Sus scrofa: one gene and its partner. The protein of the gene in region 1 purifies or fractionates together with the protein of each later gene. This does not show direct contact. Links are inferred from orthologs where the notes say so. Each region holds a gene or a part of one and is shown on either strand. Other genes may lie near its edges.

Evidence for each region. Proteins that work in one complex are often made in the same cells at the same time.
Region 2: the proteins of MYL6 (region 1) and IQGAP1 purify together in Homo sapiens (affinity purification with mass spectrometry; 4 studies listed by BioGRID and IntAct, counting the BioPlex papers as one, with this or other methods). This does not show direct contact. The link is inferred for Sus scrofa from reciprocal best matches to the Homo sapiens genes MYL6 and IQGAP1.

Annotation. Positions count from the first base shown.
Region 1 is NC_010447.5:21,557,980-21,562,124, forward strand, and holds the start of MYL6 (myosin light polypeptide 6), read left to right. Parts: upstream 1-1,345; 5' UTR 1,346-1,376; coding exon 1,377-1,379; intron 1,380-1,642; coding exon 1,643-1,670; intron 1,671-1,853; exon of another isoform or gene 1,854-1,873; intron 1,874-2,532; coding exon 2,533-2,676; intron 2,677-2,875; coding exon 2,876-3,049; intron 3,050-3,142; coding exon 3,143-3,220; coding exon of another isoform or gene 3,221-3,411; exon of another isoform or gene 3,412-3,528; coding exon 3,529-3,557; 3' UTR 3,558-3,574; exon of another isoform or gene 3,575-4,145. Other genes in the region: MYL6B (myosin light chain 6B), read left to right, coding at 1-29, 515-592, 742-770. UniProt on the Homo sapiens protein: Regulatory light chain of myosin. Does not bind calcium.
Region 2 is NC_010449.5:53,121,479-53,124,978, forward strand, and holds part of IQGAP1 (ras GTPase-activating-like protein IQGAP1), read left to right. Parts: intron 1-1,629; coding exon 1,630-1,752; intron 1,753-3,500. UniProt on the Homo sapiens protein: Plays a crucial role in regulating the dynamics and assembly of the actin cytoskeleton.

The DNA.
Region 1 (4,145 bases):
AGAGCTCAGACATGTCCTCACTACCCTGGGTGAGGCAGGGACCAGAACTGTGGGGTGGAGAGGAGGGGGTGAACCAAGAAGAAGGTTAGCCAAGCAGGCAGAGCCAGGGAGGGATTACTGTCCTGGAGGTCATGGGCAGAAGACCGAGAAGGTCAGAGCCTGCTTCTGGGGTACAGATGCCTCCCAAAGGGCAGAGGAAAGGGGATGAGATGGGAGATCTGAGCTTCTATTTTGGAAGAGATGGTTGGCCTCTGTGATATGGTATGTGTCTCTTAATCCTCTGAAATTCAGTTTCCTTGTCTGTGGAGCTTTCACCAGGTGTAACTGAGGTGAAATGGAAAGCAAGATGCTGGGAGGCATTCAAGGCATGCGCATTACAAGGACAGGATTCTCTTGGGGGACTGTTGCTATGGGCAAGTCTCCAGGGTGGGAGAAGAGGTACCACCCAGAAGAATGAGGCCTGGGTTGATGAGGGAGGGAAGGCAGGGGCTAAAACGCTGTGTCTGGGGTTTAGGAGAGAGGATGACTGAAGAGGAGGTGGAGACAGTTCTGGCAGGACATGAGGACAGCAACGGCTGCATCAACTATGAAGGTGAGCGGCTAGGAGCTGAAGAGACAGGGGAAGAGGGGAAGCATGAGGCTCCTCGTATGTGGGGGCGCGTCCTGTGGCCCAAATTATCTAAAGTCAGATGGATTATCAAGACCATCTTCTGAAGCCCCTCTTGCCTCCTCTCTCTGCAGCCTTCCTGAAGCACATCCTGAGCGTCTGAGCTCTACAGGTAGGGCCCTCCCACTTCGCCTTGTGAGGCCAGCCTGCTTCCCTTCCCTCTACCAGAGACATACGTTTCCACGTCCTGCTGCGCGCTTGAGCTCCAGGATTTGGCAACGTTCATCTTTTTCCACAGGTGCAGTGGGGCTCGACAAGGAGTCCCCCTACCCCTCGCGGGCGAAAGCAAGTTCCTGCCGCTAGGAGGCCACCTATTGTTTCAAAATAAAGTGACGGTTCCTCCCCTAAACCTCCGACTCTTGCTTTCTTCAGAGGTGGGGGAGGGAAGGAAGGAAAGGGAGGGATCTCCTCTCCCAAATCCGACATCCCCCGATTTTCCTGCGGCTCGCAGGAGGAGATTCCTTGCGCCCCACCCCACCCTCCTCTGCGGTTTCTGTGCCCCGGGTAGGACTATTCTGAAAAATGAGCCGCAGCGGGCCCCGCCCACCTCCTTACTAATGTAGCAGCAGCATCTGCATAAGACCGGGCCAGGATCCCTATTGGCTGGGTCAACGGAGGGTGACGTCATTGGGACGTACTAAGACTAGGGTTGGGCCGAGAACCGGAGCCATTACTGCAGGAAAAGGTCCCGCAGAGCCAAGCAGTCAAGATGGTGGGGCCCGGGGCTGGGAGGATGAGCGGGATTGGGGGCGAGAGGCGGGAAGCCGGGGGTAGGGGGCGAAGAGAAGGCAGAAGGTAGGGGGCAAAGGGACTTGAGGGTTGGAGGTGGGGTTGGAGATGTTGAGAGCCTGCCCTGCTGGGAAGCGAGAGTGCCCAGGATGGAACAGGAGTTCGTGGTTCAGAGTTCTTGGGACGGGGCTGGAAGCTTGGGGGATTGGAGTTAAGATGCTGATCGCTCCCCTCTTCTCCGAGCAGTGTGACTTCACCGAGGACCAGACCGCAGGTAGGTAATCTCTGACCCCGCTGAGGTCATGCTTAGGGAGAGGGACATTCCTTCTAGCACCTACCCCCTACCTGTCATTTCTTCAGCACCCACAAGGGAGTACCTCGTGGATTCCCTTCTCCCTCCTTCTGGGCCTCCATTTTCTTTTCTCAATCTTTCTTCCTCCCTCCCTTTCTACTCTAGATCTGAGCCCCAAGCACCGGGTGAGTTCTGTAGGTGGTGTGAGCATGTGAAACAGCTTGGCCACCAATGTCTGCCGTGTGTGGGGCTCGGGAGTGATGTATTAAGCTGCTTGTGCTCCTCTGTTCCTTAATCACCTCCTTCTGCCTCTTCTCTCCTCCTGTGCTAACTTTCCCCCTCCCCCAGCTTGGAATTGTGAAGGTTGTAAGAAGCAGTGACCTGTTGTTTTGCTGGTACAGGGGAGTTTGTTGAGGACGCTTCTTTGCAGCTATACTCTCTGAAAGATTTCTTTCTGTACTGAAGGGGTGAGAGTGGCAGGCTGGGATGACCCCAGTCCCAGGCTGCTGCTCCCACTTCCTTATAAGGACAAGGCCCAGACTGGGCGGTGGCAAATTCCTGCCCTGAGTACTGTAGTGAGGAGGCTGGGCAGGCTTGCTGTAGGCAGAGGGGGTATGGAAATGGCAGTTACCACTCTGCCAGGGCTTGAGGAGAGCTGTCTTTATGTGGGACACCTGAGTTGGGAAGAAGGGACACTAGATCCCTCTTAGAGGGCTTGGGTGTACAGTGGTATAAATATCTGGTTTCCTCAGCGTGATTAAAGTTGAATGGGCAACGGGGACTGTGAGGGAGGGTTTGGGTTCATCTGTGCCTGCCAGGTGCTGATGTTTATCCGAATCCTCAGAGTTCAAGGAGGCCTTCCAGCTGTTTGACCGAACAGGGGATGGCAAGATCCTGTACAGCCAGTGTGGGGACGTGATGAGGGCCCTGGGCCAGAACCCCACCAACGCCGAGGTGCTCAAGGTCCTGGGGAACCCCAAGAGTGATGGTAAGAGTCCTCAGAACAACCTGCTCAGCATGGTGGCAGGCCCGCAGTCTCCGGCTAATAGCTTCCTTTTATCTTCCTAGGCCCTGAACTCAAGCAGGTCTTGTCTAGCAAATCCCACAGATTTCTCCTGCCTTGAGTGGGAGCCCCGTAACCTCCAGTAAGAACACACGTGACTTTGCTCTCACCCCCTTTGTGGCAGAGATGAACGTGAAGGTGCTGGACTTCGAGCACTTCCTGCCCATGCTGCAGACTGTGGCCAAGAACAAGGACCAGGGCACCTACGAGGACTATGTCGAAGGCCTGCGGGTGTTCGACAAGGAGGGCAACGGCACCGTCATGGGTGCGGAGATCCGGCATGTTCTTGTCACACTGGGTAAGGCTCCGCCCTTGCTCCTTGAGCTGAGGTGCCACCTGATACACCTCACCTGTCACCCAGTTCCAGAACACTCACTCTTCCCCTCTGCAGGTGAGAAGATGACAGAGGAAGAAGTAGAGATGCTGGTGGCAGGGCATGAGGACAGCAATGGTTGTATCAACTATGAAGGTAAGGGACAAATGGAGGCTCTCACAAACGCAGTGGCTATCAGGGGCAGGTCAGGCACAGTGTTTGGGGCTTTCCTTGTCCCTGGGCTTGGGCTGCACAAAATGCCAGGAGGCAAGGGGCAGGGCCTGGCCCAGCCCAGGAGTGGGAGGCCTGGGGGGTGTGGCAGGAAAGGAAGGGCTCCTGCGGCTTGAAGGGCGGGCAAGGGGTGGGGCGTAAAACCAATGGGTGTCTTGTTCCCTCACCGCCTGATCCCCTTCACCCCACGTCTATGTCTTGTCTTCACCATTAATGTCTCTTCCTTCCTGCAGCGTTTGTGAGGCATATCCTGTCGGGGTGACGGGCCCCGTGGGGCGGGTACGGCTCCTCCCAGCCCCCCCCTTCTCTAGTTGCCCTCCCCAGTGTTTTTCTTCCTGGCCTTTGCTCTCTGGCCCCTGCCCTTCCCCTACTACCATGACTTCCTCCTAGCATGTCTCTGCATGGAGCTGACTGAGGAGGGGGGGTTCTTCAAAGAGGAAGGCAGCCTGGGGGTGTGGTACCTCCTCCTCTCCTAGAATGGGCTCTGAGGTTTTGCTTCTAGGGCGCTGGCGTCTGGGAACTCACACCAGCCTATCCCCGTCTTGCTTCAGGGTGACCCTGTGGCCCGGGAGCATGGGCGGTTGACAGAGGGGGGTGGGTTGCCCGCCCCATGGTGCTGCTGCAGCCGGAGTCGCTTCCCCTTCCTTCTGCTGGGCAGCTTGGAGGTACCCTAACCCAAAACTCTGTCTTTTCCTCCCGCCAATGGCTGACAGTAGCTGTAGGTGTAGCTGAGAACTCTTCTGCTCTGCTGTGTTCTTGCTGCTCAGGGTCGGGTGGGGAACTAACAGCTGGTGGGAGGGGAGCTGGAGGCCGAGAACCAGTCAGACTCAAGGTAGCGCCTCTGCAAACT
Region 2 (3,500 bases), on another chromosome or scaffold:
CCATGATTTGTTCTCAGCTGCCAAGAAAAGTCTAAAATGCAGCCTTTTTGGTGCTGGCCACAAACCATCAGCCTGCCTGGTTTACAAGGAGAGAAACTGAAAATCCAGAGAGGCGAAGTGGTTAAGCACAGGTCCTACTTATTAAAAGTGATAGTAAACTTTTCATCTTAAATATTTTCAAACCCCAGAAGGGCTGAATGAATAGAACGCTGAACATCCATATACCTGTCGCCTAGATTCACCTGTATTTAACACTTTGCCACATCAGCTTCCTCTCTCTCTAGCTTGCTTGCTCTTCCATCTGTGCTTTTTCTCTCCCTCCCTGAAAACTTCCTCGAGTAAGGGAGAGCTGATGTGAAAACCCAACTTGCAGAGTTGGCTCCTGTGTCCTTTTAAAATGTCTCCATCGTTCTTTTAGCACCTCTTGACTTTGTGGCATAATATGTTTCTGGTTCAATTTGTACTTTCCCTCCCTAAATTTGGATTTAGCTATTTTTCCAAGCATCCCTGGTTCCTTTTAATGAAAAACGGTATTTAGAAACCAAGATCTAGGCACTAGATGTGCTCATTGCCACACAGACATCATTGTTTCAGGCCTTCTAAGCGGACAGAGCTATGTTCTTTCTTTTTTGATGGCTTGGTGGTATTCCATTGTATAGGTAACTATAAGTGCTTAATTCTCCATTGTTGAGTATTTACATTATTTCCAATTATCATAAAAAATTCTGTAACAAATAACTTCTTGTACATATTTTGCAAATATAGGCATGTTTTGGAAGATAAATTTCTATAAATGTAATTGCTGGGTCAAAATTTTGTACAGTTGTGATTTTGATAGATATTTCAGTTGCCAGCCTTAGGGATTATTCTCTTATACACAACTACCAGCTTTTCTGTCCCACTTCTTTGAGACCCTCCCCTTGAGAGTACCAGGTCTCTTCTCACTCGTTTCTTTTCTTTGCTTATTTTTCTTACCACTTCTTGCTTTGGGTATCCCAATAGCCTTCCAACATCTATTTCTTTTTCCTTGCTCACATTCCTCTATAATTGCTATGCTGGCTCAAACTCTTTTAAAAATTACATATTCTAGGAATGCCCTAGTGGCTTAGCACGTTAGGATCTAGTGTTGTCACTGCTGTGGCCCAGGTTCGATCCCTGGCCCAGGAACTGCCACATGCTGCAGGCATGACCAAAAAAAAAAAAGTTAAAAAAAATGATGTATTCTAAGACATTTTTATTTTTTTTCTGCACAGCCAAGAGGCTTAGAGTCATTCCCCTGGGGTTCAGTACAATTCCCTCAGGCTGGCATTAAAAGCCCTCACACTTACTTTCACTTACTTTAGATGCTTAGGTTCTAGGGGGGACATAGAAGGATTAAGATATTGTTGCATTCATGGTGTGTCCTCAAATATAATTTAAATCAAAGTAAAAGCAACGGAGTAATGTTTCTCTGTTTTGCAGAGATGTTGCTTTGTCAAATCCTAGCATTTATTTGCCATTCTAGAACTGGCTTGTTTCTTAGGCTTGTGTATGGGAAGTTTGTTTGCTGATCTCATATCCTTGAATTATCAACAAAGATTCATAATTGATAGTTATTTATGGAAAGTGACATGATGTGATTTTTTACAGGGTCTCCAAAAAGCCTAGGGAAATGAAAGGAAAGAAAAGCAAAAAGATTTCTCTAAAATATACAGCAGCAAGACTACATGAAAAAGGAGTTCTTTTGGAAATTGAGGATCTCCAAGTGAATCAGTGAGTATTTATGTTTTTATTGTTTTATATATTGATTTTTAAATTTATGCATTTGTCATATCTTTATCTTATTGACTTTGTTTCTCTGGATAATCATTTTTATATTTTATGTGTATAATTAATTATGTGCAGAATTTGGCCTAATATGCAGTTAATTTGTCTCTCATGGAAAAGAAGGTATTTCTTTTCCTTGTTTGTGGAACATTTGTCTTGGGACATTTTACTTTTCCTTTTTAAAGCAGGAAGCCATTCCTTCCATTTATTTCTGTGTCCAAACTAAGAATAAATAAGACGGATGAGAAGAGCAGTGCCCTGCATTTCACCTGAGGCTAGGAACCTGGGACTTAGCTCATCTTCTTGGTTTTACTTTTTTTTTTTTTTTTTTTTGTCTTTTTTTGTCTTTTTGTCTTTTGTTGTTGTTGTTGTTGTTGTTGCTATTTCTTGGGCCGCTCCCGCGGCATATGGAGGTTCCCAGGCTAGGGGTTGAATCGGAGCTGTAGCCACTGGCCTACGCCAGAGCCACAGCAACGCGGGATCCGAGCCGTGTCTGCAACCTACACCACAGCTCACGGCAACGCCGGATCGTTAACCCACTGAGCAAGGGCAAGGACCGAACCCGCAACCTCATGGTTCCTAGTCGGATTCGTTAACCACTGCGCCACGACGGGAACTCTTGGTTTTACTTTTTACATTATCACACATGTGTTATCACACATGTGATAACACCTTTATCTGTAAACCTTTGTTTTTTTATGGTGGATGCTTAAAAATGTAATTTCTAGTCAGAATATTAAAAAAATGTTTGTTGTACAAAAACACAAAACATAAAATTTACCATCTTAACTATTTTTTACAGTGTACAGTTCAACAGTGTTAAATATATTCTTATGGTTGTACAAAAGAGCTCCAGAACTTTTCCATCTAACAAAACTGAAACTGTGCCCTTCAGACATAGTTTAAAGCCCCAGCCCTGGGCAACCAACATTCTCTTCTCTGTTTCTATGAATTTCACTCCTCTAGGTGCCCCATAGAGGTGGACCCACACACTGTGTAAGGTCACTTTTCTTTCTGTGGTTCCTTCACTTTTAGCGTGATATCCTCTCAAGGTCCATCCATGTTATAACCTGTGACAGATTTCCTGCCTTTTTAAGGCTGGCTAATTTCCCATTGTATACATGGCAATGGGAATGTTTTGAGACCCTACTTTGAATTCTTTTAGATATATACCCAGAAGCGAGATTGCTGGATCATATGATGGTTCTATTTTTTATTTGTTTGTTTGTTTGTTTAGGAACTGCCATACTGTTTTCCATAGCAGTTGGGGGAAAAAAAAGTAATAAAATAAAGTATTTTCTTTATTTTATTAACTAAATAAAACAAAGTATTTTCTAGGAGTGTCTGAGAAGTGTGTGAAAGCGCTTACCTCACTACTTCTTTGCTGTCATTGAATAGTAAAACAAGTTTTGATGTTTTTGAATCAGTGCATTAAAAATGGTAGTATTTTAAAATTTTGCATTTTTTAAAATTCCAGGTTTTTTCTTTTTTGGTGTATGTGTGTTTAAATGTGGCTTATTATCTATATTTTCTCTGGTCACTTTTTCATTCGGGAACCTTGGTCTTTTGGGATTATTTTTTTAGTTGAGCACTTTATGCATTTTTCAAATCTGTTTCATAATATTTACCATCTCCTCCCTTCTTTTTGTCATTATTTGCCACTACTGTTCAAGTGCCTACCATTATTTTGACTC